Lepisosteus oculatus: one gene and its partners. The protein of the gene in region 1 binds, or shares a complex with, the protein of each later gene. Links are inferred from orthologs where the notes say so. Each region holds a gene or a part of one and is shown in the gene's direction. Other genes may lie near its edges. The genes, in order: e2f1, ccnf, rb1 and ccna2.

Region 1 (7,505 bases):
GCCCACAGACACCTGCAGCCTTGCAGCGTGTCATAAGATGGGACTGTTCTGAAAGACAGGCATGACATCTGTGGAAAGCACATCTGTGGATCCCCCTTCTCTCAATGTGAGCTCATGAGTCGTAGCCTGAAACCCAGGTTTTAACCACGGTTAGATATAGAACACAACAAGATACTTGAAGTTTAAAATTTAGAAAAAAGATTGACCCCACACTTGAAATATAAGAGGTTGAGGGAAAAAAAATGTTTAGTTGTTATTGTACAGTCTAATGATCTGCAAGTTTTCCTGCTTTCTGTATACAACCAAGTTTGGAGCAGGCATTAAAATGGCCAGTGAGAAGGAATGCTTTTATAAACGTGCACAACTGTACATGATTGTAAATCCAGTTAAGAGGAAAATGGGCAATGTGGAAATGAGTTTTTAAACTCATTTTAAGAACTTCCCAGCAGCTATATCACCATGCAATTTACAACTGGTGACCCACTGAAGCTGAGCAGGTGTGATCCTATCCAGTACCTGAATGGGAGACCTCCTTGGAAAGCTAAGGTTGCTCTGTGGTCTTTAAAAATCCCAGGGTGTTTCTCGAAAAGAGTAGGGGTGTAAACCCGGTGTTCTGGCCAAATTTCCCATTGGCATTTATAAATCAAGGCCTCGTAATAATCCCCATCTATGAACTGGCTTTATTACTTTGTTCTCCTTCCCATTGATAGCTGGTGTGTGGTGAGCGTTGTGGTGCACTGTGGCTGCCGACACATAATCCAGGTGGGACTGCACATTGGTGGTGGTGGAGGGGAGTCGCAAATTATCTGTAAAGCGCTTTGAGTGGAGTATGCAGAAAAGCTCTATATGAATTGTAAGGAATTATTATTAAAAGGGGGACGGTGCAAGAACTATATTTGAAAATTGAACACTACAAGGAAGAATGCATTACTATTTGAAGGCTGTCAGATTGTGAGCTGTGCAATATGGTACATTGCTTTCATTCTCCACAGATAAACATGTACCTTTTGTCCCGGATCCTGTTTGCTCTGTCTCGCTTGGCTGTAGAGAAGGGCTACATCCCCCAGCCGAAGAGAGATCCTTTCCCTCTGTTCGCAACCCTGGTGTGGGGCATCGTGCTGTGGCTCTTCGAGTACTACCCCCATACTCTCCAGCCTTCACTCCAGTCCTCAATGAACTACCTCTACCACGACAGCAACACCTGGCATGACATCTCTGACTTCCTCCTGTACAACAAGCCCCGGGCTGGGGCTCAGAACTAACCTTCCAGCAGCTTGGACCCTTATCTGGGACGGGCTTGTCGGGTTCTCTTGCAGGCAGTTCAGATCAGTTAAGATGAAAGTTCAGGAAAATCCAGCCTTTTTAGAAGAATGTTCGTACTACTGTTTCCCCTTTGGTCTTGGGCTTGTTTTGCATAGCTGAAAGTCTATTTACTAAATGTGTATTGTGAGTGGGTTAGCAAGACCTTTATGACCCAGCTGTACATTTCAGAGGAGTCTGGAAAAATGGATGTCAATTTGGTCTTCCATCATTAAACCCCATCTCTTTAGAATTATTTAATATCATTAGAATTGGAATTTTCTTGGGGTGGGGGGAGGTGGTTTGGACCTCACCTCTTTTCAATACATTCTCAAAGAAGACATTTCCATTCCCTTAGAGGTGGGAAAGCAAAACTGGCCTCCAGCACTTCTTAGATTTTATATTTGACTAACTTCAGAGTGAAATCGCAGCTGTTTCCTGATGATCTCTGAAGAGGGCTGCCTTTCCAGAGCAGCTGTGTAATGTGCATGAATATTTTCTAACATTATGATTGAATAATGGAATGTCAGCTTATTTTCAAGATATGCCAAAACATCCTTCAGTTTTTTCTTGTCCTAGGTGTTTATCAATTTCTACGTATACTGTATATTAACCCTGAGACCAGCAGATAGTACTGTAATGTACGTGCTGTTTTCCATAAGGTTTCCAGTCACTCATCGAGAAAAGGTCCTTGTAGTTTAATTTGGCTGTGTATTTTTAAAAATACTGTTTACAGTTTACTTTCTTAATAGTTATTTGTTTGCAAGTTCTGTGTAATACAGTAAAAGTGTACAGTGTACACTTTGTTCCTTAGTTTTGCACTTACAGAATTACTAAAACCTTGTAAACAGTTAAGTTTTTTTCTTAAATCACTGTGACACGTTAAGCCTATGGTATAGAATGGTTAATATTTTTTCTGTTTTCACATTTTATGCTATTAGTTTTGATGCATGACAGAATCATGATTTTGATTCTTCAATTGTAATTCTTTGAAGTTTTAATCAACAGTAGTAACTTTATTCTGTCATGATAGTTCTTAAATGAAATAATTGTCTTTAATCATATTGGGCATAAAAATAATAGGACTATATCTTAACATAAGAACAAAACTCCCATGGCATGATAAGGCAGGATGGTAAATATAGGTTATCAGTTTTTTTAAATTGGATCAAGTTCTCAAATGCACTACATATGAAGCTTCACTGAACAGTTTTTTTATTAATAGAATACTATTATTTATATCAATAGTTATACTTTATTATAATAGAATAATAAACCATTCCATCTTCTCTTTCATGTGGGTAACAACAATAGAAGTGATTTTTTATATCTACATTGCAAACTCAGATTCACAACAGTCGTTTTGGAATTTGGGGTTTCTGAGCTTTGAAATGATTTGCTTCTCAATTGTACTGTAGAATTTTTTTTTTTCTGTTGTAGTGTGGGCATGAAAGGGCTGGCTTGGTTAAAACCCAGAAAACACGCTGCCTTGTGCTAATTTGTTGTTTAATCACTTAAGTTATTCAACATTTCAGAAGGAAGGACAGCCCCCCAAAATAACTGGTGAATCTACAGGACAGTGTTAGGAGACCCCTGACTTTAAAGCTTGTCTGAGTGAGCTAAAACATTGCTTTTGCAGAGTATTACCACTGAACATTGAAACGCACAATATCCAATATTTTTAAATAAGTTTCTCTTTTTCAGCCCAGGTCTGCCTATTCCTTATTCTGTCCTGAGTACTGTAAGGAATTGTAGCTTCAGGTGAACTGGACTGGTTCTGTGTCTCTTGATCTATGACTCTTGAGTATGTTTTGCAATCTGTGACAGCAGTCTTTTTTTAAACCTGTTTATTTTTAAATTAAGGATCCAATCCTTAATGAGAAGCAAACTGAGATCATGTTAAGAGTAACCGTGCTGATCATCGCTGTTTAAAGTCAAAGCTTTTATCCAAGTTACAGAATCTGAGTGAACATCAAATATAATACTGAAACAAAGTGACAGTGATTTCCTTTTAATGTTGTATATAAAAGGCACTTTCTAAGTGTTGACTCATCACTGAATGCATGCCATGTATATTGAATTTTGCTTAGTATATGTAAATAACATAAACTGCTCAGAATAAATTTTTTAAAGCCCTACAGTGCATTTGTTCTCTTTGTTGGCTGTTGAAAATAATAGGATCCCTAGTGTACAGATATAAAGTAATGTTGTCATTTGTGTGTTCTCCTATTTACTTTCAAATTCTATGTAAGCTTATTGTTGGCAAAAAAGAAAGTGAATTGCTTGGTTCTCTCTAGCAATAGTGTCTAATCTGAAGCAGACACGTTCATGCTCTAGTCTGTAAAGACATGCAGGGCTGGGCCCCTTATCTGTGCTGCCAGTAGTATGCAGGACTGATGAACAGTGCAGGGGCTCCGCAGGGGTGGTGTGGTGGCTCTGTGTGCTTGCGGCTGGAAGGTTGTGGGTTCGAATCCTGTGGTTCTGACCCCTAGCTTCTCTCCCTGTCTCTGTGTCTCATGGAGAGCAAGTTGTGGTATTTGAAAAAAGACAAATTTGTAATATAAGAAATTGTTTATGGCCAATAAAGTAGCCTTATCTTATAAATGAGCAAACTTTCAACCCTTAGGTACTTGTTTAGGTTGCAGTGGCTGATCAGTCTCAGAAGACCCAGCCAGCATCTTCCTGAGGTTCATGGGAGTTCTGGCTTCAATATCTTGGCTTGGCAGTTGTTCCTTGGCATGTTGTGGGTCTGTCCAGTAAATGTTTAAGGAATCGGAACGTTTTGTGATTTAGTCACAAGCTTGTTCAAAATATCACATTTTTACGTTTCGGCAAATTCCGTACTGGAAAGAAAACCTGCATCGTTCACAGTTTAGGAGTCTACACGCAGCACGTTAAATAATTCTGTTTCGGATTGCTGCGATTTTCGGAAGGCCACGTTTTTCAGAGGGGGTGATTATAATCTCACACGAGTGACATTAAACTCCTGTGATTTCTGCAAGAATTTCCTTTGTGCTCGACCTCAGTGAGTGAAGACCCGCACACAGACCCATCACCTTCCTGCTCTCCAGCACAGCTGCCCTTCGCGGGGGGTGTGTGGGTGGAGCCAAAAAAAGGGTAGGTGCCGCCCCGTCAGTGCAGAGCTCCTAGAGCTCCACCAATCCGGAGGCGGGGTTAGCACACGTGCAAGTTTCGCGGCAAAAAAGATTTGGCGCGCAAATCCCCAGCTCTTGTCTGATCAGCTGGGACAACAATAACAATAACAAGAACAAGTTGTAGATGGGGCGACGGGGGTTCTGTTGCGGAAAGTACCATACATTCACTTCTTAAGGACTATTTTTTTCTGAATTTATGCTGGGGAATTTTTCGTTGTTTGGCATTTTGGGTTGTTGGAAAACATCTGCTTTTACGCGTATGAAGGATTACGCTGTTTTCTGCTTCCTGAATACTAGCTCAAAAACAGGGGTGTGCTTTTATTTTCGCCTAGATCAATGGAAAGAAACGGCCGCAGAACGAGAGCATATAACTGAATGGACAAGGCCCTCGGGATGTTCTTGATACACCTTTTGATTTCAGATTTATGTCTGCTGAAAGACAAAATGCGCTGCGCTAAACTTGAAAATGGAATTTAAATGAAGAAGCACCAAATATTTTTAGAATATATGGAATCAAAGCATTCATGCTCTAGAGATCATTAAGATGGACAGTATTATTTTTGTGCATTTCGCAGACACGAATGGACTGTATTGATATCGAATCGATTTGTGATCGTAAGGCGCAGACGGAGCTGGGACAAAGGGCAGGGTGCTCCGGAGAACTTGAAAACCGAAAGAAAGATCGTGCGGTTGCACGGGGTTTTTACAGAGGCTTAGTGAAGAACTTAGTTGAGAATGTGTGTTTTTTAAGGGACCTTAACAGTTCGCATTAAGATGCATAGATGCATGCGATAAGAAAATGTATAGTTGATTATACAATGATTGCGTTACTGGACTGATGTAAAATGTAGGGAATCTAAAATGTAAAAATCCTGTTCGCACTCAGAGGCGAGTGTATGATTCAAAACGAAATTGATGATATGGGAAAAGTCTGGCTTTTTAAAGTTAAACTTGTGGCCTTTCGCATTTTATACTGACTTATTGTTTCGACCGCTTTCTGTCAGGCTGGTTTGAGGCAGACTAGGGGCCTGTAGTTAGCAGTCGAGCTCTCTTGAGTCTTTGTTGTGCGTTGCAATTACAGGTCCTGAGCTATACCAAACATGTTTCACTTGCGCACCCACAGACTGTAATTACACGTAGCCGAATGCCAGGGTTCAGCAATTGGCTTTTATGTGTTATTAGGATATACACCCTGTAGGTACAGTGAGGCAGGTTTACTTCGCGAAAATTAACATTACTCTTAAGATAATGGCTCCGGTTGTACTCCTGTTTTTACCATTGTTCCACGCGGAGACATGAAGCTTTGCCACTAAAGTATCTCAATTACTGCCACAATCCGAGCCGGGCAAAGAAGGGGGGGAAACGGGCAGCCGACCCGCGGAAGGCCATGTCCGAGACAGTGGTCACAGGTCAGACTTCGGAGGACCTTCTGGCTGACTTTGAGTCCATTTTGGGATCGGGAAGTATTGAGCTGAATGAGGATCAGATTGTCATTATCTCCACGCCGGCGCATGTGGAGATCCAGCCCGCAGGCTCCAGCGGCGCGGCGGAGATCCTGCTGTTCGCCACCCCGCAGGGACCTGCCCCGGAGGACGAGCAGCGCCGGCCGGTCCTGGGACGCCCTCCGGTAAGGGCCTCTCTGTCCCCCGGACAGAAATACAACTTGTAAATGCAAGAGGCTGCTCATCTGTTGCGCAGATGGATAAAGTCCGATATATATGGGCATATGGTCTAGTCGTGGGAAGTGGCTGTTGAATCTTTTATTGAAGACTCACAGTTCATTCAAAAATATAACGCTCATGAAAATCAACAGGTCATCATTGTGCCAATGGCGTTTTTACTAGACTGGGGGTAAAAAAAAAAACATATTGCCAGGCATGTTTGTTACTGAGGATTGTCAGGAAGCGTAAAACTGGTCATTGATTTTTGTGGTTGTCGCTCGTGGAGTGGTGCAATAATGCCCTGTTTTGTGTTTTGATGGTTTTTCTGAGGATATAATAACAGCAGTTATAAGGGTACTGATGAGGCACAGTGAGGATTGGTGGTGGCCTGTCATTCTTCCACGACAGTAGTTTAAACTGGTAGTTTGTTGGTGTGGTGGGCGAGCTGCAGGTTGGTCAGGACTTTTCTGTCCATGTGGCCAAGGGAATCTGCATGAGGAAAAGGCTACAGTTCGCACAGCAAATGTAGAACCGTGATGCTGGCGCTGTGTGAGAAATCAGTTAATGCGAAGTTTGTTTTATAGTTAAGAAAATTGACACCAGAAAGATGAATTGCCTTTAGGGACGTGCGATTCTTTAAACATTAATGTTATGCACATGATCAGATCATCCTGTGTCAGTTTTGTGCTCTCCAGTATTTAACGTGCTGTGCTTTTTCAGCAAGTGCCATGAAAGTATGAAGTTGACGGTGCCCTGCTCTGTGTTTCCAGACCCATGCAGAAAACTTGAGTGACTGAACAGCTGAGATGAGGGGTTGTGTTGAAGGTAGAGCTAGGCAGCTGGTGGGTTGGGCGGAGGGGGGGGTACAACTCTGTTACAATTTTGTCAGGCCGCTCCAGGTCGCTTTTTCCTCTGGGTCTAGATACCCTCAGTGTGCTTCCCCGGTTTCAAGTCATGTACCCGCCACTGACTTGTCTCTCCCAATTCCGGCGCAGGTGAAGAGAAAGCTGGACTTGGACAATGACCACCAGTACGTGTCCGAGATCCGCCATCCACCCCGAACCAGGCCTCGTGTGCCGGAGAGAGGTATGAGCCAACCACTTCCCTGAAAAAGTACTTTCGAAATCCCCCAGCATGTGAGGAGATCGAATTCAGTTACAACACCCTTCAGAAGGAGGGTATAGGAAAGCCAGCTGATTCACCAGATTAAATAAAATAGAGAATACAAAGTATCTGTATGTCTGAGCTTGAGATTAATATAAATGCATAGAATGGGTGGTACAGTGGTTAACATTGCAGCACTGAGGGCCGGTGTTCAGTCCTTGGGGTGCTGTCTGTGTGGAGTTCGTATGTTCTCCTCATGTTCCCGTGGGTTTCTTCCAGGTGCTCC
Region 2 (7,971 bases), on another chromosome or scaffold:
CACAGAGTCTATATATGTTCTGTAGTAAACATATACTGTATACATGTGCTGTACTAAACAAGTGTTCTATACCTGTGGTGTGGTAAACACATACAGTATTGTATACACGCTGTGTAGTAAACACATAGGCTGTAGTGAAAACATACCAGTTTGCTCTCCTTCAACATTATACCAGAGCAGATAAGAGCTCCTCTGAATTCATGTTAAGATGAATTATAAAACCATAATTTTCTTCTACATTATTTCTAAATATTGTAAATACTGAGCTACTGTAAACAACAGATCCATTAGGCAGCGTACACGTTCACCCCACATTTAAACTGCTTTTTGAGAAAAAGAAGGACCACTTTTCCCTGCCAACTTTAACAGCCTTCTAATGAATAGGATACAGAATTTATTTGTCCTACATTGCACTGCGACTGTTAATGTGGAGCATTATGTACCTTTTCTGTGACATTTTGTGTGCTTGGCCTGCTATACTTCAGCAGCATAAGTCCCCTCCATTATGCACTAATGGGACGAAAACATTTACCCACGACTGGAGAAAGAGGAAAAAAACAATGGCTTGTGCTTCATAGTCAAAGAATTCTCGATCAGTTGTCAGGCTCTCTAAATACAACCTGTCAGACACTTCCTACAATGTGCAAGTCATTGCTCACCCACAAAAAAGCTCTCTCGAAGTCTTGACAATTTTCTGAATACTGAAGCACTGTCTCACTGTGAAAAACAGACGTGATGTCAGAAGTGCTCATTACTCATGAGAAGTATGCATGTGTCTGATAAAAAATGAAGTACGAAGTAGATCCATGATTTAGATGTGGCCTCCCAGTCTCTGAAACCCCAAGGGTAAGTTTCAAGTCCTGATTCTGCTAAGTTTGCTCCTGCAGATATCCGGACTTTCTGAGGGAAGATCTCCAAAATTAATGAAGATTCATTAATCATCATTAATTTTACAGATGCAAAATGTACAAGATGTCAAAAGTACTACTTATTATACATTATTTTTAGATATTTAAAATAATGAGCTGCTGCTTTAAATGATAGATCTGTTAGGTACTCCACTTTGTTCTCCACAATGTATAAATAATGTTATTATATTCCATGTAATAATCTATCAGGATTAATTTATTCATGAATGAGGTTACAGAAGATTGCTAGCAGGGTTGCACACATTTGAAAATGATTTCGTTTAGTTTTTTTAGAGTAGTTTGCGTTCACACGCTTTTGTAATGATCTTTTGTGAACAAAAGGTGATGCTATTGGTGATCTTCACATACTGTATACATTTGTAGATTGTAAACTTACGCCACAGTTTCCATATGCCTTAATGGCAGTAGAATCAGGGAGTGAAGATTTGAGAGACATTTTACGACATGTGCTTCATAACTGGTGATCGGCTCTCTGCATCACTTCGAGAGCCTTGTGCAGCTTTTTCACTCATGGTCATTTAGTGTGTGATTTCAGTTTTCAGTGGACAGAGAATTCTTCTTTCTATTTTTAAGCTAACAATGCTGTTCCCTAGTGTGAGAAAAGACGGCAAGCTTTTCCAGGGGGGACTGGGCTGTGTTGGAATGCTGTATTATAAGGGAATGGTTTGGGAAAAGACATGGCACACACACACACTATCCCCTGTTTAAAAAGATGGGCAATTAAGAGGTTACATGTAAATCCATCCTTTTACAAAACCAGTCACATTTAACCCTGGTTCTGAAGAGCTGAGGAGTCCAAAAGTTTACTTATTACTGATTATTACTGCTTTCATTGCACATCACCACTCAATTACTCAGTTAGTTAGGGTTTAGGCAAACAGACTACAGATAACACCAGACTCAGCAGGACTGGAGACCTCTGATCTAAACAGACTGAGGAGCTTCCAGAGTAGCAGGCTGTACAGGTGTGTTTGTCACAGGAGACACATTTCTTTTACGATGATGCTTCATCGTTACACCTCAAGTTACTGCAGGGCAGTATGAGAAAAAGAGAAGAATGTGCAAAAGGTTTAATGATAGAAAATCACCTGTTGTCAGTATATTTTGGACAGGTGTCCTTCTTCAACTGTGTAGACAGAAATGATGAAAACTATATTCTGCGCAGTGATGTGATGATATCAGAATACAATACTTCAAGATATTCCAAGACTCCCCCCAAAATATCGTACACAGTTTTCCTAAAATCGCAGTTGTGATGTCAGCAGACCACTTAGCGTGGAGAGTGTATTGTTGAATTACTGGGAGTATAGGTAACCATTGCCATAGGATTTCTTCTGTCCCCTGAATAACTTTTGAAACAAGATGATTAAATGCACTAGGACCTTTCAGGCATAAAGAAATACATTTTAAAGATTGAGTTAGTGGGAAGGTATAGACGTGCACGTGAAACGCAGTGGGCTCAGAAAGTGAAATGGAGTCTCTGAGTTCTGGTGTGCCCTTCAGGCAGTGACTGGAGTGTCCTGTCCTTGGCTTGGAGTGGAGTGCCAGCACGGGGAAGGACTTCACCGAATTCTGGTCTGCTAGAGTTTCCACCGACCGTCACCCAGGCAGGCAGTTCGGACTGACTGTCACCCAGGCAGCTGGACTGTGTGGGATGATAAAGGTCTATTGGAAAAAGGCTGCAGGGCTCCAGACACAAAAACCCTGCCAGCTCTTTATCTTTTCCAATTTTCTGTTCCTGGGGATTTGATCTATGCTCGCAAATAATAAAAATACGCGTTTGGCATTTTTGTCAATTTTGTTGCTTTTGTTATGTCATTTTAACTCCTTTTTTGGATTTTTAGAATATTATTTTATTAAATTGTTTTGCGATATTATGTATATATATTAAATTGTTTATATGCATGCATGCATGCAGGGAAGAATACAAAACCAACAGAAAAAAATACATTTTGCTAAGGACAATAAAATCACTAATCATTTTAAAAAGACGTTGTTTTCAGCATTTCTGGTGATTGTATTATAAAGAATATCACACTTTTTTGCATAGGTTCTCTATGTGTGTAACAGAGTTCCAGACATCATCTCTTTCTTCCTTACCCAGTCTCCACAAATTCTTAAGGTAATAATTTTCTTTCAGAATGTTACTTCCTTTACTCCACATAAACGCACTTTGACTACAATTCGGCTCTGGGGATGTTTGTCTAAAGTTGTGTGCACTCTTACTGGTTGATACGTTGATATCCCATCAACCCATTTCCTTATCATCTCTCATTACTATGGCCAGTGGCTCCCAGCATTAAACAGAGGCGTTCCAGGGCCAACAGACACTTACACGCACAAACTCCCACCAGGGCCAGCTTTCCCAGCAGGTCTTTGGGCTGTGGGAGGAAATCGGAGCACCTGGAGGAAACCCACACAAACCTGGGGAGAACATGCAAACTCCACACAGACAGCGCCCCAGGCCCGGAACTGAACCCAGGGCTCCGAAGCAGCGACTTTGACCCTAAGCATCAGTCCCAAACCCACATACAAAAGCCACAACACCCTTTTATTGCATGGTCCTCGAGATATTCATCACAGCTCTGGGACAGTAGTGCAATTACAAATGATTAATGTAATTAATAATCTCCTCCCAGAATCAGAAGTGAATCACAGTGTTTAGGGACGTTGGCAGAAGGTTGCAAAAGATCCAGAATCACTTTGGAAATCTCTTCCATAATCCTGACTTTTGTCCTGGAAAACCTGCGCACGTTTCCCTCAACCATACTGTACATTTAATGGCTAGTCTGACACACGGGAGTTTTCCACACATGTCCAACCCTGACCCTTCACGCCAATGTCTTTGATCCAGACAGCATTTCACCATCTGTTTAAAATAATAGGAGAAAGGTAAATGCACATTAGTGTATTTTATATACTGGGTGCGTAAGCACGGGTGTTATTTCTGCAGTATCTGTCGCTCTTCACATCTGTGTTTTGCTGGAATATCTCGGCAAAATAAGGAACTGAAATCCCAACAGAATCACACTTTAGTTTCAATCGGATGCACACGTTACAGATGGAATTAGAGGAAATGGATCACACGCGGTCTGTCCTGAAGCTGTTTCCGTACCCAAAGGGGTTAGAACACTTTCAGGTGGGAGGGGCGTCTTGACTTCTGAGTAAAAAAGATTTAAAAAGCGTTTTGTGTTCTGTGGTGAGGTTTTTAAACGCACTTCGAAGTGTCTGAGTTAATTGCCAATTGGACAACTGCTGTTACGATTTTGATTTAAAGCATTTGATCGTCGCATTGAGCAGCGCAGTGAGACGTGGCCGGTTGCCTTATTGACAAGACCTTTGTGTACTTAGTAGCAACGTCCATTATATTGTAACGCAACCCCGAAGCCTTACAATATTTTATTTTGGCTAAATCAGTGTTTCGTACCGTACCTTGTTGGTGCACAATTTCAATAAAATGTTATGTCTAGGGAAACGTTCGAACAACAATCCGTGATGTGGTTTATGATGCGTTTAAAACGCAAACTTTACGATGGTATTTTTGTCGCTATGAGCATGCAATCAATCATTTCTACCGTGGATCTAGGACGTGAAATAACTATATGCTAATAAGCTAAATTCTTTCACACGACCGAGCTTCGCCAGGCTCGGAGCTGGAGAACCGCGCCCATTGAGGTATACCCAAGTCTCCGACGTCCCTTTAAATTGAGTAGATTTAAACTCCGAATCATACACTTCACTACAAATCCCAGAGTTTAACACTCCGGGGCAGGACGCGCAAAACTTCCCTCTTTCCATCCAATGACGTGCCTGCGACTTAGAAGCGCGTAATTCGAAATCGCGTTGCCCTGGCCAATCACCAGCTCTTTTCTTAGCCCTCCCGTGAAGGCAGCCAATGGCTGGAGCGGGGTCGATTCTCCGCCAATCACGATGGCCTTACGAGCGGAGTGGGCGGATCGACGGCCCGTCCAATGAAATGACGAAGTTGATGTTTAAACTGGGCGCGCGGGCGGAGCGTCAGGAAGTCCGGGGGCGGGGACTCGCGGTGGAGCTGGTTGGGTTTGAAATCTTAAACTTATTGGTAATCTCCCCAGTTTTAAATTAAACCCACTTTTAAGTTTCCTATCGCAAAGAGGCGCAGTAAAGACGTTTTAATCTTACATATTTATATGTACATAGTATTTAATTTTTCATTTAGCAACGCTTAAAATGAAAGCAGGCGGTGAGTATGATTGCATTTTGCTGCGGTTTTGCAACTGTTTCAATTTGAAATGTATTTAAAATTCAGAACTGTGACCTAAAAAGTGCGGCGATGTTGCATTTAAAATTGCACTGCTCTTGATTCCGTAACGTTAACGTTTCGTTTTTTTATACGATTTAATAGTTTCGGGAGATATATATATATAACGCCACTGCATTCTTTAAAATATCAAGCATACGTAAAATAGAACTTTTGTAAAATGTATTTTATAAAAAAAATGAACGAAACTTCAGAATACTGTGAACTACTGTAAAGAAATAGTTTCTGTTGCCTGCATGTTTCGTTCAGATCTCTCATTTGCCTCTCGATTTTAACTCTGAAAATCTGGGGACAGTATTAACTATGGGGGGCACTTTATGCACGGCAACGTGTCCTGTAGTCCTGTATCTAAGTAGTCCTCAGCCACAGGTCGATCTGTGCTAATATACATTACATACCGTAAGTCTAACAGCTCGATTAAAGGCGTTTACCAGCTTGCATTGTTGTAAAAGTAAACGGAGGAGTCAGGCTGGGTGCTGATTTTCTGCAAATAATAAGGCAGTGTTGCTCATTCCGACCCTGGCAGGACAAAGTATACATTTTGATTCAGGAGTGGGCCAGGAAAGGCGCCGGGGTTATCTTAGCCCGGTTACTGACAAGGAAGTACCAAGGTGGTCGAGAAGGAGGGAAAGGTTTAGTGCTCAGTGGGGCCGGGGGACCGTGAGCGTCCGACGCGTATTTGCGTGGACTCTGTCCCGGTGGTCTCCCCACTCACGTCCCAGAGGCGCCGGGGGCGTGTGAGGCTTATCCCGCCGGCTTTCGGATGCATTAGCATCTCAGAAACGCGCAACGTTTCGGCTGTGGAGCCTTCTTCGGGTGTGCTGAGGGTGCTCGACTCCCGAAGAAGGCTCCACAGCCGAAACGTTGTGTTTATTTCCTTCTCTTTCCAGCGCGTAGTAACCCTTTACTTTGTTGCTCCGCAGCCTGCGCCCGCTGACCGTTCAGTTAATTGTCCTATGCACACGTGCGATGAAATGCTCATTTGCAGGTGTGCTCCAAAACAACAGCCATCTAGGAGACGCCTGAAATATCAACGCGGAACAGGAGCCGCAACAGTGCGTTAATGTAACTCGCCCCTCCCCAGACACCGCTCCCTAATCTATTAGCGGGTGGGAGGAATGTCACGCGTATACACGAAGCACCGTGCAAACGGGTGGGACAAGGCTGGGTTTTAATGAGTTTACATCCAAAGGCCCCGTCCTGTCCACACGCGGCGGCTGACGGGTTGCCCTGCGCCTGAAGCCCGTGCTGTTGTGGATGGGGCTGTGTTACCGCGGCTCTTACCCCGTGCATGTTGTCTCTATCCCCCAGTGCTCCACTGCCGCTGCCCCAAGTGCTACTCGGCGCCGGTGCGGATGCGGGTGCGCAAGCGGGCGCCCGCGCTGACGCTCCTCGGCCTGCCCCGCGAGGTGCTGCTCTGCGTGCTCAAGCACCTGCCCGCCCAGGACCTGCCCTCCGCGAGAGCCGTGAGTCTGACCCCCACCACCCCTCACCCCTCCGATCCACCAATAATTATAATTGCTGACACTTAGATAGCGCTTTTCTGGACACTCCACTCAAAGCGCTTTACAGGTAATGGGGACTCCCCTCCACCACCACCAATGTGCAGCCCCACCTGGATGATGCGACAGCAGCCATAGTGCCCCAGTACACTCCCCACACACCAGCTCTCAGTGGGGAGGAGAGCAGAGTGATGAAGCCAATTCATAGATGGATGTTCTTGCACACAATGGCTCTAGTGCAAGAACGGTGTGGTGTACAGTTTCCCATGGGATGGGGACAGGGTACGGGGGGGATACTGATGAAACCATCTCTAGTTGGCCGGTTCTTTGCTCGGCTTGGCAAATGCCTGGTTTTCCCCAAGACAAGCCAGGTTAGCCTCCCAGGTATCCGAATGGAAATGGGAAAGGACTCCTGTCCCGTGTCTACAACCAAATGGAAAGCCGTTTTGTTACTGTTAATGGCTGATGGCTTTTTTTTCCCTCCAGTACTGAATAATGAGATCAATAGCCAGACAATTTAGAGGGCTCTTGTGCTGATGAGTAGTAGCTGTAATCGAACTTGTCCCTTGTAGAGAAGTTCAGTCACCATTGTGGTGACAGATACCGTGCTACACGCGCAGCTCAGCTGTGTTTTAGATGATGCTGTCAGGCCTCCTGAATCTTACCTCTTGCTCGTACTGGGGGATCCCAGGCGAATCACTCTTTCTCGTGTGAAATCTGTAAGCTCAGATCTGAAACCGCCAAGGGGCATTGGAACGTTTGGTTTAGGGACAAATGTCTTGTGATTCGCGAACAGCAGGCTTGTCGCAGGGGCGTAGCCTTAAGGTGAGGAGTTAAGTTTATTTGGGGCGTTTTAATCTAATCTAATGTACAGTGCATCTGAGGACAAGAGTCATTGGCATTCATTCTTGAAGGAGACAGATCTCCGTCATTGCACAGCATCCCGATGGATGGGCCGGAGTAAAAGCCTGTTTCTGGTTGTCCTTCCAGGTCCACCCCCTGCTCCGCGATCTCATTGACAGCTACACCAGCGTGTGGGCCAGGGTCAGTTTCAAAGATTCCTGGCCGACGCCTGACAATCTCTGGCTCTTTGAGAGGTAAAGGCTGAGATCCACATCCGTAGTTTTCAGGTTTGACCTCTCCGTTTCAGTACCTTGTTTTTACTATAGCATGTCACTATAAATGTTTATAGGTGGTCATTTTGCTTTGTGCGTGGTTGTTTCTAGGCTTTCTGGTCAGG
Region 3 (7,024 bases), on another chromosome or scaffold:
ATATTTGAGAAACATGGACAGAATATGTTGTATGAGTGAGCAGTGTGTTAACAGGAGAACTGTTGGTCGTTTAACTTCTCTTTTCCTCAGAATGGTAAGAATCTGGAATGGTAATGTTCAGCACTCTTTGTCTACAGTGTCATGACTGTGGTGTGTGTCTGAATCTCAGGAGGTCTTGAGTATCCCCGTTCCCGCCCTCGAATGCAGTGGGTGAAGAAACCACCAGAGCGACTGCTCAGTCTGCTGGAGAAGGCTCATCTCAGTGAGGCATTCAAGACGTACACTGTGTGCAGGCCAGGTGAGACAGAGAGATGTGCAGAATGGGCTTGCAGCAGGCGAGTAAGGTGGGCGCGGAGAGGTGCAGAGGAAGGTGTGTCGATTTCAGTCCCAGAAGAGGAGTGCAGACTCACTGAGCTTTCTGTTTGATTTGTACTTAATAATTAAAGATGTGTGATGTAAACATTTTGGACTCCAGTACTCAGAAACAGTGACCCCCACCAAAGAAAATATACCAGAAGATAAACCAGTTGTATTGTAAAAGAAAAAAATACTTACAAATACAGGGTCAGATTTTGTTGTGTTGAACATGTTTTGTGGTTGGGACTGTTTAAACACATAATATGAATCTATAAGATATTTTGGTAGAAGTGCAACACAATAAGTAATTGAGATTTAGGCTTATAAAATATTGTATTTAATTCTAATAAATAAAATAAACAAGTAAATCACAACAAGGTCAGTCACTAGGGTCAGTCACAGATTCTTGAATCCCTCATTGTCGTCCGGATACCTAGTCACTGGTCTTCTTGCTATTCTTACAAATTATGCTTTCTGAAATAGAGGAAAGAAAACAGGCATAGTGCTATTCTTGGTTATTGTTGGGGCTTCCTTGCTAGCAGGAAGAATACTTTGTGTTTACTCCATTAATTCCCCAATTTTTAACAGTTTTCTATATTTACATTTTCTGCATAACATTTTACTCCTCCCCAATCTGGAACTGTCAGTTGTGTCTCTACACTTGTCTCGGCCCACAGTGACATCTTTTGCTTTTAAAATCCAGTTGGTTTTTCGGTGAGGACCACGGAAATGGTAATTTAATGAGCTGCTAGAAAGTAAATATGTTGGGTGTGCTGATTGACCTCTCTTTCCTCATGTGTAACCTTTTGTTCTTATAAATCAACGAGGCGGTTTTTTCTTTCTTATTTTTTTGTACCCCAGCCAAATTTAACCCTCTGGTAGGGCCCCTGACACGGGGAGGTTGTGATGACACAGATGGGGACATAGAAGATAGTGTGGATTCCTACCGACTGGAGCCACGCTCTGATGATGAGGACACGTGAGTCTCTATACAGTCCCTGTCACTCATAACGGCACACACTCCCTCCATTGGCTGGCTAGTACTTGGATGGGAGATTGGAAGTAATAAGAAACTGCCTTAACATGGTATGGCAACTGAGAACCTTGAAGAATAAGCTTTTTGAGGTTCTTAAACCTCAGTCTTGAACTTGTGCTATGTGGTAATAGGTTATTCTATTAATCCACAGGAAATCCCCATTTTTAGAACACCCCTGCTTTCTGCTTTCTTGACTAAAACACCATAGTGCTGGCAACTTCCACAGTACTTCCTTGTGCTGCTTATGTTCTCATAGTGCAAAAGAGTTAGGTTTGCACTTGAGGATTTGTGTACATGGTCTAAAGAATGATGAACAAATCTGAAAGAAGATCATTTCCTCTTCTCAACTCAGGTTGAATTGTCGACAGTCCAAATGTTTTGCTTCATACTTGCAGGTTGAATTTTGTAGAAAATGTCCAGGGTGTCTTACTGCTTCAATATCCTTTGATATAGTTTGATTTTTACCATCCTGTGGAAAGGGTATCCTTTGAGGTCTCTGTGAACTTAAGTTGGGGCTCAGATGATTGTTTCACTGTGAAATATCCCTAGGGTATTCTGTTTTAATTTTGGGCAGATGTGTCAATTATAGATCATTCAGACAGTTTTCATTATATTTATAATGCCTGGATAAAGTCTATTTTTCATTCATTCTGCTTTAGCTTTCTTCATGCTTTCCTCCTTCATACTCTACATGTATATTACAACACAGGAAAAAATACTAGCAAGTGACATTATGTCCATCCTGTTTCTTTTATTGGCTGTAGGTCATGACAGCTATTGTTAATATTACTTTTAAGGCCCTGCATTAGTTGCCAAGGCCACAAACAACCTTTTCTGTGAATTTGTGTGTTTGTAACATTTTAACATATAACTGACTTACAGAAGCTCTTGTCATTTTCAGGGATTTTGAAGAGGAAACATTCTCCGACTGGGTGACAGAACTAGAGAAGATTTCCAAGTAAAACAAATGTGACACAGCCATTGCAAACTCTCCTACATTGAATAAAATATTAACTATTTTTCAAAATACCATGGTGTTAACATCAGGTTAACCTGCTTGTTAATGATCTAATTAAAGAAACAGATAATACAAATGTATTTAAATATAATATTTTCATTATGTAAATAAATAATACTGGTGTTATTATTTTGAATGAACAAACCAACAGAATTGGATATCACTGTGTATGAGCCTCATTTTCTTCCCCTGTTTTCCCTGAACTGCCAGCAACTGCAATATGATATAAACTGGCAAAATTTGATTATTTTTAAATAAGATTTATGATCACAATGTGCCAAAGTGCGTTTCATTTGTCTTTTCAAAATCCAGCTTTAGGTTTGAATTTTATTTCAAACTTTGCTACCACATCAGTTTTTGAATTGATTTTCAATAAATACTGAAAATGTTGTTGGTCTCTATGTAATTATTTGCAACTGATGTTCTTCCTCCAGTTGTCATTGAGATTTTGTTTTGGAATTTCTCATTTCTTCTCTTTTGCTTTTATTTTTTGCATTATCAAAGATATGCTTGTTTATGAGAGACAGATTATGTTATGTGTTCTTCTGTGATTTGTGTGGTGCCTTGTCAGCTTTGTGAGATGTGTCTTTTCTTCCTCTTTGTCAAAAACGTTTATACCAGGTGAGAGACTGTGAAAATTCAAGCACCCAGGTTACAGGTCACAATCTCAATCTTACTATCAGAAGACCCCTTTCATAACTGTCCTGAGGCCCAGTGTTTTCTTCAAAGTAGCAAGAAATGAATATTTCTTGAAAGAATGTAAACAATGAAAACCAAGCACCAGCATCTGTCTAGCATAACAGGTTACAAATATTATGAAATGTAAGAAACAGAACAGGTCAAGAATAACCAAACCTACAAATGTGAAAAAACTGGGGTTGATGTAGTCTTTTAATAATTTTCATTACACTTTAACTGGTATATAGTTTTACATAAGGAATTTAAAATAATTTAAAATGCTTTGCAGTATCATTCTGTGTGCAATATACATAACAGAAACGTTTTCCAAATATATCAGGAACCACTGAAGAATTAGATTTATTCTGGGTAAATTCTGATTAAAATTAATGTTTTATATTAATTTATATTGTTTACATATAAACATTATCCAAAGTATAACATTTACACAAATCCACAAAATATATATTTACTGCTTGGATACAGAGAACAATATCATATGTTTTGAAATAATTATTTCATTTATATGACCGTGCAGTACAACGGCAGAAAAATAAATATCATGTGTTAAAGATTTTGCGGGTACCTGTTTTCAAAACTTCCAAGTGTACTTCACGACTCTCATGTGCCATAATTTAAAAGGGGGAGGACCGTGCTAGATTTCAAACAATTCCACGGCTTTTTCAACAAAATAACATGTCTCGTCCGGAGCACTACAGAGTTTTTTTTTTACACTTTGGTTTATGTTTACATGTAAACAATACCAATTTATTATGTAAACAAATAAGTTTAACTTTTTCTTTCATTCTTACGACTGTTACAAAATGAGTTACAAGTTTCTTTCTCTGGCCAGTGGCTAAATGTCACAGGAAGTGACGGAGCAGGGAGGGAGGATATTTCGCAGTTTTCCCGCGGTTTAAGTGCCCTCTGAATCAGTTGAAACCAGAAGTACTTCTTGTCAAACGTGTAGGGGGGGGGATTTAATACTAACAAACAAAAAAGTATCCAAAGACAAAGACGCCGATTCCAGGAGTGGTTCTCCGCTATTACACTTGCACTCGGATCTTGTTAAAGCCATTGACATGCCTCCAAAGAGACGCAGCGCAGCTCCGAGCGCTCAGCTTTCTAAGGCTGCGGAGGATAAACACACCAACCGCGTCGGTGTCCCCGGGACGCCGGGTAGGATCCCCCAGCTCTCTCTTGAAAGGTAACAGCAGATGCCAAGAAATCGAAAATCTCTCTTGTTTCACGAGGAAGAGCTGGGTTTACTTGACCAGCTGTCATGCTGCGTGTAAACCTTTTGAGAGTGTGTAATGTAGGACCCGTTATGTTTGCCTTTGAGCCGCGCAGAGATTTAAGTCTCATGAATGAGGCTGACACTTGGGTTTTTCTGTTCTACTACTCATCTTCCGTATGCAAGAGGTGCAGGTACTACGCGATGTTTTTATTTCGTAGATTTCTTTCCCCTTTAGCCGGTGAAAAAGATTCCGTTTTTGTTTCCTGTGTTTGTCAAATAGGTTCCAGTCCTCATCAATTATACATTTTCGTCTTTGCTCCGGCCAAACAGACGTTCTTTACGTGTATATGCTTATGATAGATGGAGTTTAAAGTTTAGAAAGATATTCAGTCCCAGTTTGTGTTTAGTATGTAGGTGGATATCATGGCTGAAATATAACTAAAGTACGATAGCGTAAACTTAGTTTGTGCAGAGCGTTAGATCAGCAAAATGCACATTTAAACCTCAATATGAAGTCTCTAGTGTTTATAATGATATTTTAACCCAGCGCTTCATAGTCCTTTCCATGTTAAGATATGCCTCTTGTAAGATTTGTAAGTTAGATCACTTTTAGTGAGAATGGAGCTTCCTTGTGACCCACTGAAGTTTCTTAAAGATCAGAGAGGCTTCAATTACTTATTCTAGAAATCTATTTATAGATTTAAATACTACAATATTGTTAAAAAGCTGTCACCCACACCCCTTTGTGTTAGGTTCCTCCTGTTCTCAATTTTAAATCTACTGACCGTTTGTATTCTCTGATTAATGTTTTATTGTTGATTCTAAAAAAAAAGTCCAGTAGGTTGTCTTTGTCAGTGCCTATTGAGGACTGTCTTAATTCGATACTAAAGCAATGGTCTTGATGCCAGTCAGATGTGAAAATACAACCCACTAGGATATTGCTATCAGGATCATTGTGATTGCACTGCATCAGCAGTTTAGGAAGCTTATTCTGGCTTTGCATGTTTACACATTTCTTTTTGCTCTGTTCTATATTCTGTCTCTATTAATTAACTAACTAAATGTGTGGTCTTTATCAGTTTATAGGGAATGTACTTGTAGGACATTAGCATCAATGTCAAAGTTTCTCTGGACTTCATGAATAAACTATCACTTTAGTCTAATTCTTACAGTGTGAGGATATTAAAAAATCTTGGACACTTTAGCACTTAACCACCTGTGTAGAATAATGTAATGACTTGATAATCTGCCTTATATGTGTACATCAATCGAGCAATATTTATTGTGTTAATTACAGCTTAAATAAGAACACATGGCACAAATTAATATTCCACTCCATAATAATAAAATAGTAAATAGGCAAATCTGCTTCATTGCTAAATACTACAAGACGTTTCCGTTATCTGTTGAGGCTTAAATACTGCCATCAAACCAAATTATTTAACACTGAGAGGAAATATTGCTTTACAGCTTCACATAAGACTAATAAACAACTGAAGGGGAAGTGTTCAGATCAGGAATTTAAAACTGTCATAGTATGCAAGCTGCCCCTGTACAAAACAAGAAGACTGAGAAGCAAGCACGGAAAAAAAATCATTAAGTTGAAAGGACTCTGCATGGAGCTCTGTTTATAACTATTCTTAATACACCTTTAATGATGCATCATTTCACGCCACCATACAATAAAACTTTTGAAAGAGACAGGTAACCATAAGTTAATACAACTAAAAGCTAGAATGTAAAAGTGAGTGGTCTGATGTGGACTGGGCGATCATTCCGCAGATGACGACAAAAAGTATTTTCTCTGAGCACCAGAAGGAAAAGCATAGATTAGATAAGATTTAATTGACCCATGCAGGAAAAAAAGGGAGAAGAAAAACAGCACATTTGACTATTACAAAAAATAAGAAAAACATTGCTCATTATACTATTAAAAAAAAAGCAAAACATTCCGCATCATTCTATTGCACAGTATAACACATAACAACATGTAACATTTATAACACATCACAAAAACATATTGCACTCAAGTGGGTGGTAAGAGTCAAAATTGTGTTTATCCGTGACATTTGCATTGACAGTATTAATGGATAGTGGAACAAAGGAATGTTTGTATTGGTTTGACATGCTGCTGAACTTTGGAGCAAACACTCTCAACATGAGTGACCCGCACAGGTAACGGTCTATGTGTACACCTAAGTATTAATATGAGTCAACCTGAGTGATAAGTTTGTTGTGGATTACTACCTGTAAGTGATCAACTGTTCTGGGATCAAAAACTATTTCTTTTTAGATCTAGATCTCCAATTGTTCTGAACATCAGCCTCTCACTTGGTACTGAAACAAGGCCCGTGTCCAAAAGGGGCAACCGATGTGTGTTTTCAAAGGATTAACGGTTCACAGGTGTAGTTAGGAGCCCAAGCTTTCGTCCCCTTTAAGGTGATGAGGAGCGTTTAGAACTTATCCATTTCGGATATGTTCGGGGAGGTTAAAACAGATAATTAATTCACATGCATTTTACTTTTGGTTAAAGTTGACTAACTGTAGTGAGGAGCATATTTTATGTACACTGAATCAGTGGATTTATCCTCCATCACACTTTTTTAGTAAGACTGTTGGTCTTGAAGGTAATTGAAGCAGTTTTGTGGTCAGACAAAATTCTCCTTGTGTAAAACTGTTACATAGGTTGGGATGCTTA
Region 4 (7,837 bases), on another chromosome or scaffold:
GGGCCCCTGAGCAAGGCCCTTAACCCCAGCTGCTCCAGGTGGCTGTATAAATGGCTGACCCTGCGCTCTGACCCCAAGCTTCTCTCTCCCCGTCTGTGCCTGTGTGTCTCATGGAGAGCAAGCTGGGGTATGCAGAAAGACAAATTCCTAATACAAGAGATTGTATATGGCTAGTAAAGTGATCTTATCTCTTATCTCAATGCTTAAAATGCAACAGAAAAGACAAGTATCTAATTATCCAAAAGGAAAATGTATTTTCTACTTATCGTGGAAATAATTCTTTAGGGTAGTTATTGGATGTTATGTTATGTTCTCTACCATGCTTTTTAATTTCAGCAGTTGTTTTCATGTTATAATCTTGACTGACATGTTATAATATGTTTAATTTTAAAAATGTATTAAAAAACATACTAGTGTCACTGCAGGAATAAAGAAAATCTAACTTTTTCTACAGTTCCGTATACAGTATTACATTTAAATGTTAATGGGTTTTTTTTGCAGGTATGATTACGGATCTCTTCATTGACAAATTCAAATTTAAAGGACAGAATGTCAAGACTAAAGTACCATTGCTGCTTGAAATCTTGGACAACTATGAACTGAATTCTTTAGTGGAATTTTTTGATTCAGCATAATACTGAGATGTAAACAAATCATTGAAGTTTCATCCAGTGTGGTATGTTTTTCCTAAGAAGCTACAGTAACATTTTTTAAATTTTGTGTTGTATTTTTAAGAAATGTTATTTGGAAATACAAGGGAAGTTATTGTTTCAGTTTTCAAAATATCATAATTTTCCCTGATACTTTCATACATTTTAACTCTGTAAAATTGATGTATTTATAAATGATATGTACAATAGTTGAAATGTAGTAATATGCATAGAAATTATATGGAGTGGTGTTCTTAGCAAGTACGGAGTTGGTGTTGCAATGAACAGTTCATACAAATATTTCTTCTGACTTATCATTCACATCTATTCCAAATACTTGAGCTGTATAGTGAATATAAGAATTTGATTTTCTAAATATATGTTAATGTTAATATTTTTCTATGTTAAATAATTCCAGATTAATTTATGTATACAGTTACCTTACTCTCATTGGGGCATATAACATTTGTGAAATAATCTTAAATAAACTTAATTATAAATGTTTAATTGTCAGTTTGAGTTATTCTATTAAATGAACAGTCCTGCTCAGGATAAATTAAGTACCTTTCAATGAAGAGCTGCAAACTATATGTCTGTCACTCAATAGTCTTGTGAATACACAGAAATGTTGTGATATGCTGAAGATTTAAGTGATTTTTCAAGATGAAATGTAGGTTATAATCAGGTGGGATGCTCTTGGTGATCAGGGGGGCATTTTAATATTGGATCTGCTGAATTAACACCTGGTGCAGAGCAACCCAGGGAAATTAATGAAAGTGCTTTCCTGCATTGAATTGTCTGCCTCCCAGGCTTTACAGGAGGAATAATTCAATCTTGATTGCAGCACAAAAGTGATTTGCAGGTACTTTAATGGTTTGGTGATGTAAATGCAAGGATATTTTAAATGTAGGCAATCTGTGATAGTGAAGAACCAGTGTCAAATAATTACTCCATAGGGATCATACAGACTTTTTCAGGAATACTATGTTAAGAAGAAGTAGCATTAAAATTGGCTATTTGATGTTCATTAGGTACAACTTCCATTAACACCATTAAAGATACATTATGTGCGTGAGTGATGTGTTTGTTTTTTTTGCAAGAAAAATATTATCTGTACTGTATCTGTAGCATAGGATCTTTGTGAATGTGTTGATTTAATGCATAGCTTTAAATTAACTACTAGTAGTATATATGTAAACTTGAAGAAGGCTCCTGAAGAAGGCTCCACGGCCGAAACGTTGTGTTCTCTTTCTTCTTTTTTTCAGCATGGAATAAACCTATTACTTGTTCCTTATGTGTAAACTACTATGTTTATATGTAAACATACTGTATACTATGGTAAACTAGACATAACATTTAATGTTTTTTTTAAGCCCAAGGATATTGTTTGTATTCACATACTAACCCTGGCTGCCAGCAATTAGTATATCAAAATAAATCATACAAACACCTGTTTTTTTCAAAGGTTCTTCTTCTGTTCCTGTTGTTAGGATGTTAAAAATTGCTTTCCAAGGAACGTTTTAATACATTTATTAAAAACTCCATGTAGTATTCCACATTTCCAAAGGTGTATTAATTCCTCCATTTTCGAACCACTTTATCCGATACAACCTTGCGAGGGTTCCAGAGCCTACCCTGGCAAGCAGCAGGCTCAAGGCAGAAAACACCCTGGACAGCATTGCAAGACACACAGAGACACACACGCGCTCGCACCTAGACTAGTTTCTTTAGAAGCTAATTAACCTATTAGTATGTCTTTGAACTATGGGAGGAAACCCCTGCAAACACATTTAAACTCCAAACAAAAAAACACCCCAGGAATTGCCCCCAGGGACCCAGCGCTGTGAGGTAGCAATGCTAACCACTGTACAGCCATGTTGTCCATGTGTATCAATACACAAGGGTTCAATTAATAAAACCTAAAATGTAAGAACCTAATTTTGAGGTGGCAAAAAAGCATCCGTATTATTTGTAACCACAAATTCATATCAGATTACTCTGAAATCCTAAATAATAATAAGTCTTACATCCCCTAAAACATCCTTAAGGGGATAAAATCACTTCTTCAGATCTAACTAAACACCCCAGGTTAACATCAGAAGTTAAGGTACTTATGTGCTAAGTTGAGTAGCTTTTTTGTACTTTTGTGGCTGATCTTGGAATTAATGTGATCAGTTAACTGGAACAATAGCATCTTAATTTGCTAATCCATCTTGGTGACTCCAATCAACAAGTCTACATTGCAGACAAATTAAGGCAATAATTAAGAGGTTACAGAGCCAAATCGTTTCACAGTTCTGGTTTGCAGTAATCAGAAAATGTGCCCTGGCTGTATTTAACATTTCAACTAATCCATCTTATATTTAAAATTTGAATTTGTATCATGGAAAATTCTGAAATTAAAACAGTTTAGGATTTAAAGTGGAACAGTGTATACCAATTATTGCTGTTATTACTACAGTTTATGTTTAGTTTTGTGGAAAGTGACTTTTAAAAATGATCCATTACTGTTCAAACTTGCAATTGAGGTAAATTGCAGCACATTGATTTTGTGTTACTTTACATAGCAACTAGGAGTAAGTAAAGATTTAACTCCACACTAAGAAGCAGAAAGAAGACATCGTTTCGGCTGTTGATCCTTGTTCGGGTGTATAAAGCACAGGAGGACAAAGGACTGGGAAGGTGAGAAAGAGTGCAAACGAAGGGAGGTCTGGGGGAGAGGTGTGAAAACCTGAAATCTGTAAATGAATGGAGAAATTCTAAAAAGACGAGGTTTGAGGAGAATCTTGGCTTCTCGTGTTTTTCTGTAGTAGGAGTCCCGAGGCCCCTGTAAAAAGAACTGTCAGTGAAATGAGAAACTATTGTGCTGGAGAGATCTTTGAGCCTCACTGCTCTGAACGGTATTTATAATACTTGTGTTTGTTGTAGAAAATATGTAATCAGGCCAGAAAAGAGGAACTTGATACATTCAGGGACGTAAAGGAATGACATACACTGACAGGCTGAAGGACCTTGAACAAAGAAGACCATGGGGGGACCTCACATAAAGATTTAAAATCCCCAAAGACATTGACAGGCCAACATCTTCAGCATGAACCAGAGGACACACCAGGAAACTATGTGGAATTGTATTTAAAACTGAGAACAGGGGACACTTCTATACCCAGGGGGTGGTGGGTGTGTGGAACAAGCTACCCAGCAATGTTGTTGAAGTTGTTTTCTTCTGATGTTCTTGGATCAATTAAGTACCAAACAGGCTAGATTGGCTAATGGCCTCTTCTCATTTCCACGCTTTTAAAAAAATTCTCCTGTACAAAGTAACTATACACACTTCATGGAAAATAACTGATGCCAAACCCTAAGTGAATCCTTCATTTTCCAACCTTTCTTTTTTTATTTTTGGAGTTATGATACAATTACATTTCATTTACATATAACAGAGATACATAAACACAAAATAAAATATAGCCTTTTTGTCCTTTTGAATAGTACAATATTGGACATTCTCAGTTTGCACATATCCACATTCAAAATGAATGGTAAACTGGACTTTCAAAAACCTTGGACTAATGCTGCACGTTGTAGACAACGTGGCCAGTTCCTAATGAAGTTTATATTTCAATATCATTAAAAAAATGTTTATTTCGGTACATTATAATACTTATGCATCGTAGGAAACTACTAATTATATAAAACTAACAGGAAATTCATCCTATTTTTTAATATTTGAAAAGGAAAATAACGTGCATTTAATGAAGTAGCATTTTTTTACTACTGTGTGTTGTATGAATATATACAATTGATGTCTATAACATTCTAGCTAAAACCTGGGGCTGTACCGTAATGGCCTAAAATGTGCTAAGTGAATCAATCAGTCAAAAAAAGATTACTTCGGCAAAATGTGAATTAATCACATCGTCAATCCAAATATTTAACATAACCTCAAGTGAAAAAAAATATATTGTTTGTTCAGATTACCCAAACACTTGAAACGATCTGTTATGACAGTAGATTTATAGTTGTTGTAATCAAAGTATAATACCGGTCGCTGACTCAATCATATTTGAAGGCTTTTGTCCCGGTTCTTGTGAGACTGAGCCCCAGACAGGAATTTTGGATGTCTGCGCCACCGTAGGTTTGGTGACGTAAAAGGTGAGGCCCGCTCGGATTGGGTGATTTCAATAGTCGCGGGCTACTTGAACAGAGAAAGCAGCAGTCCAGTAACTGCAGGAACTGGGGTTGGTGAGGAGTTGCAAGTTAATCTCTGGTTATTCGGATCGCTAAAAAACTGCAGCTCGAAAATACAAGAGACCCAGCATGGACAGCTGAAAGTGATACGTCTGGGGAGGCGGTGATCGGTTGTTTTTTTAAGTTTGTTTTTTTTTAATTCTAGACTTTGGGAGGGGTATTGGAGGACCTCTTCGTAGTAGAAGACTCTAACCCTGATGTTACAATTTATGTTTTTTCTGGTTGCTTGCTAGTTCATAACGTCACAATTGTTAACCCGGAACTACGGCGGTTGTTTTATTTTAAATTTTAGAACTTTATTTTAGCGTACTAGCTGAGCAACAATGTTTGGTATCAGTCGCGATCACGCTGCGAGTGACTTGCAGAAAAATCAAGACCGGGAAAACATGCTTCTTAAACAAAGGGCTGCTGCAAAACACCGGCTTGAAGATCAAGAAAATATAAACCCAAAAGCTACAAGCAGAAGTGTTTTGGGAGCTTTGCAGAACAACCAGAGAAGCGCAAGACCCCAGCTACAACAAGGAACAAAACAGGTTGGTCGAAGCTCTTTTAAATTAATAAACGATTAAATTATGCGATTTAAATCTAATCGGTGGTGATAATATACATTAGATAAACTTAATCTGAGGTTTTCGGTGTTTCATTGCGGTTTGCAGTCTATCGGTGTTGGTGCTCGTCTGCAATTTCTCCTTTAGTGTGGTTAACTTCTGAGATTATAGAAAGCCGTTCCGTTTTTAAAACGCACAGTGGTCAAAACACTTGATGTAGTCAAGGATCTAGATTAATCATAATTTATTACCTTAGCGCCACAGAGGCAAACAACTGTTTAAATGGCCATTTGGTGTTTCCCAGTGAACAGTCCGCCATTTTCAAGACGGCAGGTTACTGCTGTAACGAGCTCTACACATTGCAGAGACGGGATAAAATTGTGGGATCACTTGTTTTGAAGTGTACTAGTCAAGTTTTCGCTGACGTTTCCGAAGATTCTGGTTTCCCTTTTCCACGAGAAACTAATCGCGCGTCCGTTTTCAAAAAATGCATGCAAGCCATTTCTCAAGTTTAACTTAAAAGGCCGTGGTTTACGTTTCTGCATTAATCTGGATTTTTTTTTTGCATTAACCTGGAATTGCCAACGTTATAGGAACTTGGACTGTAATTCAGTGACCCGCCATTTTAGATGATTATAGAAGCTCTACCTGGCCAATATGGAAATGTATGTAAACGTCCACTAATACTTACTGACGCAAGATGTTATTGTTTTTTGTTCTCAGGGCCATTCGTGTCAAGTGCTGTCCTGCACAAATTCTGAGAACCATGGCCGGGATCCTTCAGAGAAGATGGGTGCAAAGCAGCCCGGTTTCACAATTCACGTGGATGAGCCTGATGGTGCTTGTACCAAGAAGCAAGTGGCCTCCAAAGCTAAAGTCCTCATGGAGAAGCCTCTGTTTACAATTAACCCCATCGCGGGGAACAGACAGCCCCTTTCCGTTATTGAGTGCCCTCTGGATGCCAGTTTTGGTAGGTGTTTCCTGAAACAAGAATGGCTTAGCTTTAAGGAGGTAGCTCCTTGGAGACTGACTTGCAATCAATGGGAAGATTTATAGTTTTAAACCAAAAGAAAACTTACCTCACTTAGCTAACAGTGCTTTTTACTCTTTAACCCTTATGTAACCAAGCCTAGGCTTTTGTAACAAGTGCAGTATACCCTACCACTGTAAAGAAAGAAAGCAACTTCTCATAATTCTAACTAATTTAGAAGTTGGTATCCATTTTAAATCATAATGGCATAACCCCATTGTACTAATTCTGGGCTGTACTTGCTATTTTTTCCAGATTCGCCAGTGGCTATGGACATGTCAGTATGTGATGCTGAGGAAAAACCAAGGGATGCAAATGAAGTGCCAGACTATGCTGTAGAGATCCACAAATACTTAAGGGAAATGGAGGTAAGAATGGATTTTTTTTTCCACAGGCAAACTTGACACTTATATTAGTTTGATTTGAATGCTTGTTGTGGGGCTTCAACTTCCAAATGAAGGTAGAATCCCTTTCCACTGAGGGGAGTATGACCTCCAGCTGATCCAAAACCTCTAAGATGGCTATGTACAGGGGGATTCCAAAACCCAAATGTTTTAACTCTTCATTTTAATTGTTCTCTTCCTCAGATAAAGTCCAGGCCCAAAGCTGGCTACATGAAGAAACAGCCAGACATTACGAACAGCATGCGAGCCATCCTTGTGGACTGGCTGGTGGAGGTGGGAGAGGAGTACAAGCTGCAGAACGAGACGCTCTATTTGGCTGCGAACTATATTGACCGCTTCCTGTCCGCGATGTCGGTCCTGCGGGGGAAACTGCAGCTGGTCGGGACGGCAGCTATGCTGTTGGCTTCGTAAGTCTCACTCTACCACCTGAAACCCCCTTTTCAGTTGATCCTCTTCCCCTTGTATGAGACCTGACTTGGTTCCCCATTGTGTTCAGGAAATTCGAAGAGATCTACCCCCCAGAAGTCACGGAGTTCGTCTACATCACGGATGACACTTACACTAAGAAGCAAGTGTTGAGGATGGAGCATCTTATTTTGAAAGTGCTGTCTTTTGATCTTGCTGCTCCTACAATCAACCAGTTTCTCACCCAGTACTTCCTTCATCAGCCAGTGAACCAGAAAGTTGAGAGCTTGTCAATGGTGAGTTGATGCCAACGATGTTTATTTTTATTGAAATCCCTGGTATTTCACTTACAGGTTTTTAGTTTCCAGAACATACATCACAGACCTTTTGTAGGTCTTCCTCTTTATTTGTTTTGCACTTCTATAGAAGTGCAGAGATGTACAGAATGCATTCATGTCTTCATACCTTGTTAATTTTTTGCAGTTCCTGGGGGAGTTGAGTTTAGTTGATTCGGACCCGTTCCTGAAATATCTCCCGTCGGTTACAGCTGCC

Evidence for each region.
Region 2: the proteins of e2f1 (region 1) and ccnf are in contact, whole or in part, in a cryo-EM structure (PDB 9CB3), measured with the Homo sapiens proteins. The link is inferred for Lepisosteus oculatus from reciprocal best matches to the Homo sapiens genes E2F1 and CCNF. Residues at the interface, in NP_005216.1 of Homo sapiens: Gly84, Arg85, Pro87, Val88, Lys89, Arg90, Arg91, Leu92, Asp93, Leu94, Glu95, Thr96; in NP_001752.2 of Homo sapiens: Met309, Ile312, Leu313, Asp315, Trp316, Glu319, Val320, Met323, Arg349, Leu352, Gln353, Trp379, Leu380, Thr381, Asp382, Thr384, Asp504, Tyr505, Val508, Leu510, Thr511.
Region 3: the proteins of e2f1 (region 1) and rb1 are in contact, whole or in part, in a crystal structure (PDB 2AZE), measured with the Homo sapiens proteins. The link is inferred for Lepisosteus oculatus from reciprocal best matches to the Homo sapiens genes E2F1 and RB1. Residues at the interface, in NP_005216.1 of Homo sapiens: Ala267, Pro268, Pro269, Glu270, Thr271, Gln272, Leu273, Gln274, Ala275, Val276, Asp277, Ser279, Glu280, Asn281, Phe282; in NP_000312.2 of Homo sapiens: Ser829, Arg830, Ile831, Leu832, Val833, Ser834, Ile835, Phe845, Ile848, Met851, Val852, Asn854, Ser855, Arg857, Val858, Leu859.
Region 4: the proteins of e2f1 (region 1) and ccna2 are in contact, whole or in part, in a crystal structure (PDB 1H24), measured with the Homo sapiens proteins. The link is inferred for Lepisosteus oculatus from reciprocal best matches to the Homo sapiens genes E2F1 and CCNA2. Residues at the interface, in NP_005216.1 of Homo sapiens: Val88, Lys89, Arg90, Arg91, Leu92, Asp93, Leu94, Glu95; in NP_001228.2 of Homo sapiens: Met210, Ile213, Leu214, Trp217, Glu220, Val221, Glu224, Arg250, Gln254, Tyr280, Ile281, Thr282, Asp283, Thr285.

What each region holds. Positions count from the first base shown.
Region 1 is NC_090711.1:15,208,909-15,216,413, reverse strand, and holds the start of e2f1 (transcription factor E2F1), read left to right. Parts: upstream 1-4,504; 5' UTR 4,505-5,841; coding exon 5,842-6,081; intron 6,082-7,110; coding exon 7,111-7,201; intron 7,202-7,505. Other genes in the region: pxmp4 (peroxisomal membrane protein 4), read left to right, coding at 993-1,262. UniProt on the Homo sapiens protein: Transcription activator that binds DNA cooperatively with DP proteins through the E2 recognition site, 5'-TTTC[CG]CGC-3' found in the promoter region of a number of genes whose products are involved in cell cycle regulation or in DNA replication.
Region 2 is NC_090714.1:3,638,130-3,646,100, reverse strand, and holds the start of ccnf (cyclin-F), read left to right. Parts: upstream 1-4,958; 5' UTR 4,959-5,138; coding exon 5,139-5,151; intron 5,152-6,540; coding exon 6,541-6,695; intron 6,696-7,721; coding exon 7,722-7,828; intron 7,829-7,971. UniProt on the Homo sapiens protein: Substrate recognition component of a SCF (SKP1-CUL1-F-box protein) E3 ubiquitin-protein ligase complex which mediates the ubiquitination and subsequent proteasomal degradation of target proteins.
Region 3 is NC_090700.1:17,210,894-17,217,917, forward strand, and holds the start of rb1 (retinoblastoma-associated protein), read left to right. Parts: upstream 1-4,009; 5' UTR 4,010-4,171; coding exon 4,172-4,296; intron 4,297-7,024. Other genes in the region: serine/threonine-protein kinase Nek3, read left to right, coding at 170-298, 1,219-1,336, 2,295-2,355. UniProt on the Homo sapiens protein: Tumor suppressor that is a key regulator of the G1/S transition of the cell cycle. The hypophosphorylated form binds transcription regulators of the E2F family, preventing transcription of E2F-responsive genes.
Region 4 is NC_090696.1:10,719,370-10,727,206, forward strand, and holds the start of ccna2 (cyclin-A2), read left to right. Parts: upstream 1-4,834; 5' UTR 4,835-5,221; coding exon 5,222-5,431; intron 5,432-6,169; coding exon 6,170-6,416; intron 6,417-6,731; coding exon 6,732-6,844; intron 6,845-7,063; coding exon 7,064-7,287; intron 7,288-7,376; coding exon 7,377-7,581; intron 7,582-7,768; coding exon 7,769-7,837. Other genes in the region: bbs7 (Bardet-Biedl syndrome 7 protein), read left to right, coding at 502-635. UniProt on the Homo sapiens protein: Cyclin which controls both the G1/S and the G2/M transition phases of the cell cycle. Functions through the formation of specific serine/threonine protein kinase holoenzyme complexes with the cyclin-dependent protein kinases CDK1 or CDK2.